Linked DNA regions of Coturnix japonica. The protein of the gene in region 3 interacts with the protein of the main gene of each other region in a pairwise test. Links are inferred from orthologs where the notes say so. Each region holds a gene or a part of one and is shown on either strand. Other genes may lie near its edges.

Evidence for each region. The genes of interacting proteins can lie anywhere in the genome.
Region 1: the proteins of GFAP (region 3) and PDZK1 interact in binary tests that used the Homo sapiens proteins (3 or more experiments, as listed by UniProt). The link is inferred for Coturnix japonica from reciprocal best matches to the Homo sapiens genes GFAP and PDZK1.
Region 2: the proteins of GFAP (region 3) and RIBC2 interact in a two-hybrid assay, tested with the Homo sapiens proteins (2 studies listed by BioGRID and IntAct). The two-hybrid records come from large-scale screens. The link is inferred for Coturnix japonica from reciprocal best matches to the Homo sapiens genes GFAP and RIBC2.

The regions. Positions count from the first base shown.
Region 1 is NC_029516.1:83,006,927-83,010,916, reverse strand, and holds the start of PDZK1 (Na(+)/H(+) exchange regulatory cofactor NHE-RF3), read left to right. Parts: upstream 1-1,180; 5' UTR 1,181-1,360; intron 1,361-3,675; 5' UTR 3,676-3,677; coding exon 3,678-3,887; intron 3,888-3,990. UniProt on the Homo sapiens protein: A scaffold protein that connects plasma membrane proteins and regulatory components, regulating their surface expression in epithelial cells apical domains.
Region 2 is NC_029516.1:64,767,072-64,771,296, forward strand, and holds the start of RIBC2 (RIB43A-like with coiled-coils protein 2), read left to right. Parts: upstream 1-1,415; 5' UTR 1,416-1,506; coding exon 1,507-1,626; intron 1,627-3,514; coding exon 3,515-3,596; intron 3,597-4,225. Other genes in the region: SMC1B (structural maintenance of chromosomes protein 1B), read right to left, coding at 1,055-1,190. UniProt on the Homo sapiens protein: Microtubule inner protein (MIP) part of the dynein-decorated doublet microtubules (DMTs) in cilia axoneme, which is required for motile cilia beating.
Region 3 is NC_029542.1:787,768-792,076, reverse strand, and holds the start of GFAP (glial fibrillary acidic protein), read left to right. Parts: upstream 1-1,506; 5' UTR 1,507-1,538; coding exon 1,539-1,969; intron 1,970-2,662; coding exon 2,663-2,723; intron 2,724-2,887; coding exon 2,888-2,983; intron 2,984-3,051; coding exon 3,052-3,213; intron 3,214-3,334; coding exon 3,335-3,460; intron 3,461-3,575; coding exon 3,576-3,796; intron 3,797-3,927; coding exon 3,928-3,971; intron 3,972-4,309.

The sequences.
Region 1 (3,990 bases), on a different chromosome or scaffold from region 3:
TGCATGACTTAATGCTGAGCATGATGCCAAATGGCACAGAATATCCCTTCAGTCTGTCTGGGTCAGCTGTCTCTGGTCTGTTCTTCCCCAACATCTTGTTCACATCCACTCTACTCACCTGGGGGCAGGAGAAGAGGGATGGAGAGACAGTCTTGGTAGTTCGCACACTGTTCAATGACAGCCAAATCCCTGGTGTGATTTGTTTCAGACACAAATGCAAACAACAGCACTGCACAGGCTGCCACGAGGAAAGTTAGCTCTGTCCCAGGCAGACTCAGTATAACCTTATCCCCTTATTCCATATCATTTGCGCCATTCTTAGGTTCCATGTTATCTAATGCATCTAAATACCCGCTGGACTTTTGTCCCATTCATCAAGGCCATCACTCAGGACAGGGGGAGCAGAATGTTGGATCACTGGGCACCAACACCAGCTTGAGGTGGGTCATTGTATTCACATACTTCCATGTGAAACTCACTCCCTTTTAGTTCAGGTGGTTTCTGCTGTATTACTTCCTGTATTGTACAAGTCAAATTGTGCAACGTATAGATCTCTTTGAGGTACATAACAAATTTGCTCATCCTTCCACACTGACCACCAATTACACTTTGATCTTTGAGCAAAGACAATTCTGCAAGTGGGTCATCCCTTTCCAAAAAGAAACTGTCTTTCTCAACAACTTCCCTACATGCACTGTAGGGACTTTGTGTCCTTTCATTGATTGCAATGCATGTTTCACATCTGCAGGTGGCCTGTGGGATGTTCTCAATCATCAGGTCTACCCCTCAATCACAACCACTTGGCACATTGCATCTCTCCCAATTACTGTCATTATTTCAGATTCCTCACACTTCCACAAGCCATCCAGCTGAGGAGGGGAATGAGAGAATAGATAGGTGGGCATCTAACTGCTGGCCAAGATTAACCCATCACAACCCTATGTTTGGCACCCTACATGGAGTGCACGGGTTTGAATTGGGAACCTCTCGATCTGCAATCAAACACTAACTAGTCATCGTCAGCACATGACAATCCAAACACATTCCTTTAGGACACTACTTATAGCTGAAGAAGGTTCTTGCACAGAGCAAAGATCACCTTCTTGACTGAGTTTTTTTGAGTATAATTATCAGTAGAACAGAATTCAAAGCTGATGAGGAATACATGTGATCTGCACTTCTGCAGGCAAGGACAAGGCAGCTTATCAAGGCATCGAGCATATTCAGTGAAACTTGGTTAAATAAATCATCTTTTAAATCAACCTTTGCCCAATCAAAGTCCAGTCCTACCTATAGGTACAGCTACAGGAGGGACAGCAAGAGAGGATTCCTGCAAAGGCTGCTTCACACAGATATACAGGTAAGTTATTCCTTTTTTTTGCTATATAAAACTGTGTTTTAGGAGTCTGATAATCTTGCATATAAAGTTTTCATGAAGTGAAAAGTTGTTTGCAGCCCACTATGGTCTTCCCTCCATTTCTACATATGAAGAGATAATCTGTCCTGTAAAAGCTTACTGTTCCTTCAGCTTTGTTTACTGCTGGTTTTCTGTAAACATCAGGAGTTAACCAAATTTCCCAGTGTTTGTCGAGAAAAGCTGCTCCGAGTTCTAGTTGAGATCAGTACAATGTCTAAACAATAGTGCAGGACATCCCTATGTGAAGTTATTCTTGATGCCACTATACTTAGACTCCAAAAACCACTAAGTACCTCACCAACGGGAATAAGAAACTCAGAACCCACAGCCTGCCTATCCATACATGCTGAAATGTTCCATCTTCTCCAGCTTCAGTGACATCCCTGCCAACTCCCCACTCCTCACCCATACTTTTCTATAAGCTGACTAACTAACCTTAACAACACAGTTTTAGCTTCCATAACAAATACTCTATATTTTCATGAGTAGCCAGATGTACTTCAGCAGTAGGCTGCTATCAAGAACGTGGAGAGATTTGACCACTGGCTACTTCTAAAAACAAGTAAAAGAAAAGGTCAGTTTTCACACACATAAGTTACGTGAGTGATATACAGAAACAGAAAAAAGAAAGAACTGTAAAGAGTTCATGCAGGCAGATGAAATTTTTTAGTATTTATTAGGCTGAGACTAATGGCCAACCTCTGCAACAGATCTTTGGGCTTTTCACAAACTTCTAACAGGAGCGAGAAAAAAAAACAATCAATCCAGTAAGACACACATCAAGTGTGGTAATTACCTGGATGGAGAAAGTTGCCATCATTTATCTTATTTCTTATGTCATAGTGGATCTTTGGCAGGAGTTCCTAAGACAACAAGATAGCGAACTTTGGAATTGCTCCTTGATCATAACTACTGCTTACTTTCTGAACATAATGTCTCTCTTACTGATAATGAGCTACACGAGACAATTTCATTGTATCATAAAAATATAGAATATTTTAGCTTGGAAGGAACTTCTGGAGCTCATCTGGTCCAATAGCTCATGCTAAACCAAGCCAACTTAGACCAAGTTTATCAGGGTCTCATCCAGGTAAGCACCTCCAAGGATGGAGATTCCACAGCCACTCTAGGTTCTTGTTCAAGTATCTGAAAGCACCAGAGATTAAAAAGCTGACCTTACCTCTCTCTAATTAGACTTCCCCTCACTGCGACCAGTATCTGTTGCCTCTCATCAGTATTAACATCCAAGAATAATAAGGATCTGTGTTTTCTACACCATCCGATTAGGCACTTGAAAATGCAAATAAGAACTTTCATTTACTTTCTTTTCCCAAGACTGAACAAACTCAGCTCTCTCAAACCCTCTTCAAACAAGTTGCGCTCCAAAACCTAACCCACCCCAGTGGATTAGTTTCAGTATGTCAGTGACACAGAGAGCTCAAAACAGCAGTCACGCATAGCCTTACAAGTGCCAAACAGCAGGGAACAATCCCTTCATTGACTTGCTAGATACATTCAGATATAGCCCACTATCCAGTTGATCTTCACTGCAAAGCTACACCAACTGATGTGAAGTTTTGCAGGACAACACGTAAGTGCACAAACTGACCAGCCAGCCTGTGCTGTCGTTATGCATGGTTTAGATATAGATTTTTTTCCACTTTTCTCTGTTAAATGTTTCGATATTTCTGACAGCTCCTCTCTCCAGCCTGTTGAGGTCTCTCTAAATAGCATCCCTAACCACCATCCTATTGACTGCTCCCCTCTGTTTAATATTATCCATCACGTTTGTTGAGGATATATTCTGCTGCACTGACCATGTCATAAATAAAAATGTTAAACAGTATCTATCAGTACCAGTACCAACCCTAAACATTGTCAATAAAAAGCAGCCAACAGCTGGATTAAGTGCCACCAATAAAAACCCTCTGAACCTAATGGCTCAGCCAATCTTCTGCCCACCTACAGAATCTGCTTATTCAGTCCATATGTCAACAAGTCATCCACACTTACTGTACAAGAGACCCTCTCAAAGGTATTGCAATAGTTAAAGAGTACATCGTTCATCGTTCTATGCCTGTCACAGAGCCAGTCCATTCATCTTGGAGTTAGCAGGTAAAAAGGATTCATTTAATCTCCCTTTGCACAGCTGGATTTCCCAGGAACCCAAACCTTAAGGATTCTGAAGCAAACTGTCTCAGCTTGCTTTTTTTTTTTTTTTTTAAACTCACAATTAGTTTTTCCATCCTGTTTCGTAGAGATGACTTCTGTTCTCCAGCCACGAGAGTGCAAAGTGACCAAGAAAAGCAAGAAGAGCTATGGATTTTTCCTGCGTGTGGAGAAAGACACAGCAGGACATCTCATCCGGAATGTGGAAAAGAACAGCCCTGCTGAAAAGGCTGGCTTGAAGGATGGAGACAGAGTCCTCAGGGTTAATGGTGTGTTTGTAGACAAGGAGGAACATGCAAAGGTACAAATCTGTTTAGTCTGGAGGCTACATCACCTCCCATGATCCAGACCCGCTGTCACTATTGGAAGCTTTCTCTTCCATTTCTATGGTGGAAAAGTCCGAG
Region 2 (4,225 bases), on a different chromosome or scaffold from region 3:
TACACCAGTGTTTGGCTGTTGCTGAGCAATGGAAAAAGCTGGTGGAGAAGAACAGGTGCCATAATGATGCTGGGCAAGATGTGGAGCTCAGCACAGACTGAGCCAGACCACCTGTAAGCTGCAGGAGCAGCAGGATCTAAAACCAAAATCATAAACTAATGGACTGGGGAACTAAGACCAAATGCTAAGCCTGTCCTTGTGGCTCCTCATTAGAGCATCGCCTTATTCTCTGCCAAGTAAAGAATAAAATCCCATCTGCTTGAATAGCGTGTTCAGCAGAAACGAGCCCGTTTTAAAACTTCCAGCACCCACCACCTAACTATGCTGAGACACACTGACAAGCAAAGGCTCTTGAGGACTAAACTGCTATGTCCAAAGTGTTTGGTGGTGATACTGCTATTTTTTCTAAATGTGAGAAAGGGAAAGCATTCAAAATATTACACAACTTGACCCAAACAGCTTTCCTTGGATTTCTTAATGTCATTTATTTTTCTCATCAAATCTAGACCAAATCCTGTCTAACCAATTCCCTGCCTCTAACAAAGCCTGCTACCTTAAAGTTTGCCTTAGTCATGCGATGGAAGATTTTCATACTGTTTTCCACAATGCAAATAGTACAAGTTAAGAGACATTACTGTTTCTCTTTATTACTCCACCTCCTGGGGCAAGGAAATCTGAAAGATGATCTGACATATTCACTGACATGATAAAACACTTTTATGACAAAAGAAAAAAAAAAGCCCTCAGGTCCCTGTAAAGAGGCCACATAAGTCTACATCCCCTGTGCAAAACCATGTAGTTCTGCTCCTCAGGGGACAAGCTGCTGCCCATTCGGTGCCATAATAGGGCTGTGGTAGCCCAATTACTGGGCCCACACTTGGATGCAATTGCTGTTATGGGTTCTTCCTCATGAGTCTTGAAGAGACCTGAAAATGAGCCCAGAACTAAGACTGGGAAAAAGCCTGGGAAAGCAGGGCAAAGGCAACAGAAACCTCCATCTTGGCAGCAGTGGAGGACACACACAACCACCAAATGCCCCTTTCCAGCCTCCTACCTGATCCATTGGGCCCAATTATACAGTTGAACCTCATGAAGGGGCCAATAAGCTGCTCCCCACGCCAGGACTTGAAGTCCTTCACCATCAGCAGCTTCAGGTAGCCCATCCCTTGGGCAGTGGGTGCAGAGGCCATTCCCCCCTTCCAACTTCGGCCACACACAAAATTCAAACCACCAGGTATTTTTTTTAATGGCTTGTCTTCCAGAAGGAGACACGAAGGGAAAGAAACCCCACAGCAGGAGGCCTCCAGACGACGGCAAAGCTGACACCCCTCCAAGCTCAGCCTCGCCCCTTAGCGGCCGACATAGAAGGCCGCAGCCTGCCTCGTGCTCCCTGCCCCGCCTGATTGGCCACCAGGCGCTGGGAGGGGGCGGGAGCTCATTGCCATGGCGATGCGGTGTGTTGTGCTTTGGTAGCCATCGTCGCCGCTTGTGCTCCTTGCCGGCGCCATGAGCGGGCTGACGGTGCAGCAGCGGGAGCTGCAGGAGGCGGCCGCTCTGGAGCGGCGGCGGCAGCGGGAGCTGCAGCGTCAGGGCCGCATCTTTAACGTGCGAGTTCGGACCATCGGGGTGAGGCGCTGCCGAAGCCTCCTTTGCGGGTCGGGGCGCGGTTGGAGCCTGCCCGGCTGTGGAGCCGAGTAGATTTGAGTCGGTCTGGCTCCGGGGAGGGGAGGGAAGAGGCAGCAAACACCCCGAATTTGTGTTTGGGTATCAGGAAATCAAGTGGTACTTTGTAGTTATCTAAATAGCCGTGAAGATTCTGTACTTGTGGTAGTTAATTTTCCCTTACTGTGCCTGAAATCTCATGTTAACATTCTGGATGCGTGTGTTGTGAGGTGAAATAAGTTTAGATGTTGCTGCTAAGTTGCTTTTCAGGGCTCTGTTGCAATAACTAGCTTATAATCAAAGTTAGAAGCTCACTTAGTGGAAAGAACCTAGCTTATAATCGAAGTTAGGAGCTCGCATAGTGGAAAGAAATGAGCCCAGTGTGTTAACTTCACTGTGCAGGTAGGGTTGCAGCAGGTGACAGTCTGATCTAAGTGATCTCAGGTAATGAAGCATCTCACATGTCAGCAGAAGGATCCGTTTGCCTTGGAATTGCTCTTGTGACCTCTGTGCAGCAGTCAGTTATATAGTAAAATAGCAATTCCTGCAAGGAACTCAACAGGCTGGTACAGCATCCTGACGCATGGTAGCCAATGGTACAGTCAAGTGGTAGGAGCTAATAATGTGTTTTAACAAAAAGTTGGGTGGGCACAGTAAGAAAGTTCAACTTTCTTTGCCAGGAAACACACTTTCTCTGTTAGATGCCTTTTCTTGGGCCTTAAAAATTAAATGTAAAATGCCATTTCTCACTTAGGGAAGATCATTGGATCTCAGTGTACTTTACTGAGCAGTGCTGATTTACACCATATCTGGAGGTCTTTCCCAAATACTGTTGTAGGACGACCGTTGGACAGGTTTTAATAGCTCCATTTACACGAGACAAACATCTAAAGTGAAAGTATTGGAAGAATTCTGTGAGTATCTTGATGAACATCATTTAATAATACCATATTTGTTGGCTGAGCAAGAAGTGCTTACAGAAGGGACTGTTCTTGCTGTTTGCAATTAAGCCACATCCAAAACAGGTGAAGTCAACAAAGCTATACAGGTATATAGTATATCTCTATTTCCTCTATAAGAGGTTTTAGATTCTTTGTTTTCTCATTCTCTCACTAATTTATCTGAGTGATTGTCTGCAACAATTCAAAAATGAAGGCAATATTTGACAGCTTAAAAATATTTGAACTGGGGATTGAGTAGTTTTTAACATGTGGGGATAAAATACTGATGGATGCATTCACATTAACAGTATTTTGGAGGGCCCTCTGCTTTCTGCCCTGGTGAAAAAGAACACAGCGTAAAATCTGTATTTTATAAAGGTTTGCTTCCCCAGAGTGGGTTGGCCTTTTTTAATGCAATGAGAATTGCATGTGTGACAGAGGTAAATGCTCCATAGCTATTGCACTTCTCATCCTCTGGTGTGCATGGTTATAAGTGTGAGGGGCAACAGGGAAGTCATCTGAGGGGGGAAAAAAAAACAAACAGCAAGAACTGGAAGAAATCAGGAAAGCAAAGCAGGGGGGTAGTGATTGAAAGTGAAGCAAATGGTCAACTTACATCTCTTTTATTGTTATAGAAATGAGACAGAATAGTTTGAGTAACGTGTAGATGTGGCACTGAGAGGCATGTGTGGTAGGTGGACAGTTGGAATAGTTGGAATAGATAATCTTAGGTCTTTACCAAGCTTAGTGATTCTATGATTCTAATAGGCAGAGACTATTAAAATACTTTATCAGGCTCTTGAAGAATTGTCAGTAGTTTTTTTTTATGTCTTACAATGACATCCAGTGACTTAGCCAGTAACAGCTGGTGTGTTGTTGTTATTACTCTTTGTTTTGTTTTGTTTTAATAGGTTGATAAAGATGCATTGGATGCCCAGGTCAAGGATAGAAAATTTCAAGAAGCAACTGAAAAAGCACGAAATGAAGAATTTGGTATATTCATAGATAGTCTAATGTTTGTATAAAGTTGAATGTAAATAGATTTGTCCTGTATTTCATTCCTTTTTCTTTTCATACACGTCCAGCCTACTGGTTTTGTTTTTGTTGCGTTATTTTTTAACGTTTTAATAAAAAAAAATAAAAAAATAATGTTTTTGTTGCTTGTATGTATTAACTATATTATATATTTATATATATGGCCAAATATAATTCATTTTCATTCAGTGCAGCCCAGCAAACCAAAAGGTTGGACACCCATGTATTTTCAAATGAAATCTATCTCCTCAAATATCAGTTCTGTATATCTATGTATTTCTAGGTGCATGTGCAATTAGGCTTCTGTCTAAATTCAGACTTACAAACTGAATCCTTTGTGTATCCCTATTTATGTTTGCATTGGTAGAATGTGTTTTCCTTATTATCACAGGGATTCATTCATATTGTCATGGGTAAAATGGTATGTATTTCTGAATAGATTTCAATCTTCTGTGTTTTCTTTTAATAAATCACGATAAATAGCATTGTTAGAGACCTGAAAATATAGGATCATTTAGAAAAATAATTATTATTTTTCAAGCAGAAGTGGCAAACTTATTTTACTGCTGTCTTTCAACATAAGTTTA
Region 3 (4,309 bases):
GGGAGGTAGAAGGGCGACCACCCCAAACACTGCCCTGCTGTTCCCTGGCTGGTTTCCCTGCTCCCTCCTGCCCTCCTCCCTCTGCACAGCCCCATGTATTTTGTAGCAGATGGATCACTGCTGTTCCCTCTCAGCCCCTCTCGGGGTGTCGAGTGCTGACAGATGGGCAATGCTAAGCAATACCACGCGCTTTTAATAAATCTTACAGCTTAAACCCAAAGGAGTGAGGGAAGATGTGGGGCTGCTTCTCCCCCCTCAGCCTCAGAGCGGTGCTGGGCTCCCAGGGGTGGTTTTCTATTGTCCCTTTGGGGCTTCAGAGCATTTCTCCCTCTACTGTGGGGTCCTTGGGGCCACCAGCAGAGGTGATGACTTTGCACCGAGGCCCCAAAAGCTGCATGGCTGCCTTTGCCCCACAGCCCCTGGTATGTTCTGGCCCCGTTGTCCCATGCAGCGCTCCCCATAGGGGCTGGGGTCACTGCTCTCTGCCCTACTTTGCTCTCCCCTCTGTCTTCTCTCAGGCTGGAAGCTTCTAATTAAAGCTTCTACATTCGTTTGCCTCATTAAGGCGGGGGGGGGGGCTGGCTCTGTGTCCCCGCAGTGACAGCATCTCTGCTTTGATCCCATTGCGTGGGAGCGGGGAGAAAATAAATCCTGGGAGACCACAGTGGGGGCACCCTCTGCCCCATCCCTCCACGTGGATTTGGGGAAGGGAGGGGGGTCCCAAAGGGCTCCCAGTGCAGCAGCAGAGCTGTCCCTGCCCCACTTGGGCTCTCAGCACATAGGGGTTGTGGTTTTGCAGCTCTAGAACCAAACCTGGGGCTGGGGGTGCTGAAGGACGATGCCTGATGCAGGGCTGTGAATGCGGAGGGGGGGGTGTTAAGGGGCTCCCAGTGTTCCTCCCCATTGCTCTGGGCTGGGGCCCGGCCCTTGTTCCCATGCTAGTTGGGTTTTCTCAGCTGTTGGCTGCCATCTAGCTGTCACCTATGGGCTCTGTCCCCCACCCACAGCCACTGAGCTGATCCTGGTCCATCCCCGGGCTGTCCCCATGCCCGTACCCCATTGAGCCCAGCAATGTCCCTGTGCCCGTTGCCCCCACCCTCACCCCGTGCCCATTTCCCGGCGCTGCACAAAGGGATCTCATTGCTGTGCTGGGCACACTGAGACCTTTGAGACAGCTCTGGCACCACTGGGCTGGAATGGGCTCAGGACGTTTCAGCTAATTAAAGCTGGCCTTAATTAGCAGCCTTCCTGCTCTGCCAGGTTCACCCCATAGTGCCCCATGGCATCGCACCCAGGACCTACAGTGCCCCACACACCCACGCTGCCCCATGGGCACTGTGTCCCCGCTCTGCCCCAGCTTTTACCCCCTGCTCTCTGGGCACTGCCAGCACTATTTAGCACACAGGGCTGGCTGCCAGCCCTCAGCCCCCCCCTCCCCCCCGCTGGGTGCCACAAAGCCCAGCTTTGTGCTGCGTGGCCTCCAGCCAATGCCATGGCCATAAAACCCCACCACGGCTCACATCGCACCCACCTTCACCATGGAGAGCCGCTGGTCATCCTACGGCCGCCGCTCCAGCCCCACTGTCTCATCATGGAGCCCCACAGCGCGGCCCCGTCCCCGCAGCGCTCACCCCACACCCCACACATCGAGCAGGATGGATTTCTCTATGGCCAACCTCCTCAACTCGGAGTTCAGGGAGACCCGAACCAACGAGAAGGTGGAGATGATGGAGCTGAACGACCGCTTCGCCAGCTACATTGAGAAGGTCCGGCTGCTGGAGCAGCGCAATAAGGTGCTGGTGCTGGAGCTGAACCGGGTGCGGGAGCAGGAGCCGACCCGTCTGGCTGACGTGTACCAGGAGGAGCTGCGGGAGCTGCGGCGCCGCGTGGAGCTGCTGGGCACCGCCAAGGCCCGCGCCGAGGTGCAGAGGGACGGCCTGGCTGAGGAGCTGGGGAGCCTGCGGGACAAGTATGGGGGGGTCCTGCAATGGGGGATTGGGGGGTGGGGATTGAGGTGGCCAACAGGACAAGGATGGGGACCAGTTTGGTGGTGGGGAACAGAGCGGTGATGAGGATTGAGGAGGTGGTGGGGATTAAGGCAGACACTGTAACCAGGGGGGATAACGATGGGGACTGGGGTGGCCAATGGGACCAGGATGGGGACCTGCGTGGTGATGGGTGATGGGATGAGCAGCAGGGCCGGAGTGGAAACAGGGAGCAGGGTGGCCACAAGGATCATGGTGGATGACAGGGACTGGATCAAGGTTGAGAATGGGGACCAAGGTGTTAATGGGGATTTAGGTGGTACTGGGGATCAGAGTGGCCACCACAACCAGGATGAGGACCAGGATGGTGATGAGGACCGGTGTGCCCACCATGACAATAGTGATCCCAGGGACAAAGTTGTCTACTGGAACAAGTATTGGGGAGCCCAGCAGCACTAACAAGGTCATCAGGACCAGGATAATAACTAGGGTAGTGATGGGGACCAAAGCAGCCAGCAGAACTAAGAAATGGCTACTGGGATGGTATAAGTGCAGTGGGGTTGCACTAGGGGGGTCTGTCTATGGGGCTGAGCTGCACGTGGCCACCATGAGTAATGAGGCACTGTGCCTAACGAGTAATGGCACCTAATAAGTAATGCGTCACTGCTCTGTTGAAGGCTGCAGCAGGAGGTCACCCTGCGGCTGGAGGCTGAGAGCACCCTGGCTGCATACCGGCAGGTGAGGGTAGGGGATGGGATGGGGAGTGGGGGCCAGTCCTCCTCTCCTGGGCTCTGTGGACAGGGCTGGAATGGGATGGGATGGGATGGAGGGATGGGCAGGGATGGGGGCACAGACCCCCATGCCCACCCTGGGTACGATCCCTCCATGTCACCTGGTGGCAGGATGTTGATGCTGCTGCCCTGGCTCGCCTCGACCTGGAGCGTCGCGTGGGGACCCTGCAGGACGAGGTGGCCTTCCTGCAGAAGGTGCACGAGGAGGTAACGCTGCTGTGATGTGGGGCTCTGGGGGTGGATCCCATGGCTGTGCTGACCCCGCTTCCCTGCAGGAGCTGCGGGAGCTGCAGGAGCAGCTGGCCCAGCACCGGGTGCACGTGGAGGTGGACGCCAGCAAGCCAGACCTGACGGCAGCGCTGCGTGACATCCGCACTCAGTACGAGTCCATCACCGTCACTAACCTGCAGGAGGCCGAGGAGTGGTACAAATCCAAGGTGCGGGTGGCACCTTGTCCCCATATATCACCCCCATGGGTTGGGCTGGCTGCTCCTGTGGCTGGGTGGCTCTATGGGGCAGTGGCACTGGAGAGCTGACCCTACGGTGCGTCCCTTCCAGTTTGCAGACCTGACGGATGCAGCTGCCCGCCATGCAGAGGCCCTGCGTGCGGCCAAGCATGAGGCCAACGAGTACCGGCGGCAGCTCCAGGCCCTCACCTGTGACCTGGAGGCTCTGCGGGGCTCGGTAGGTGCCACCCATGGGGCATGAGGTGGGACGCATCCTTGGGTCGTGCCACCATGGGTGGGTGCCCATGGAGGGAGGTGGCATCGAGGGCATCACATCCCACAATGGTCACCAGAACGAGTCCCTGGAGCGGCAGCTGCGGGAGCTGGAGGAGCGCTACGCGCTGGAGACGTCCGCCTACCAGGACACAGTGGGGCGGCTGGAGGAGGACATCCGCGGCCTGAAGGAGGAGATGGCCCGGCAGCTGCGGGAGTACCAGGAGCTGATGAACGTCAAGCTGGCCCTGGACATTGAGATTGCGACCTACAGGAAGCTGCTGGAGGGCGAGGAGAGCAGGTGATGGACCCCCCTGTCCTGAACTATCTCGGGGCCTTTTTGGTGCTGCTGGGTCTGGTGAGCACCCTGCAGCCCTCCTGCTCACACATGGGGACCCAGTGCTCTCCCCAACGTTCCCATTGCTCCCGCAGGATCACCGTCCCTGTGCAGAGCTTCTCCAACCTGCAGATCCGAGGTGAGGCTGCGGCTGTGTGGGATGGGGGCAGGGGGGGCTGCCAGGTCTCTGTGCCTGAAGGGTCCCCCACAGTCCCAAGATATAGAGGGGATGAGCACGATGCCATGGCCACGTCCCCAGTGCCGACCATTCCCCAAGGGTCAACCCTGTTGCTGAGGCCAATGATGTCTCTAAGGCCAACCTCAACAATGAGGGTAATTGTGTTCTGAGTGCCAACTGTGCGCCCATCACCAGCTGTGTCCCCAGTACTGCCCTCATACTCAGTGTTGACCACAGCTCAGTGCCCACCATTCCCCCAAGCACGATGCTGTCCCTAAGGCCAACCACATCTCAAAGCA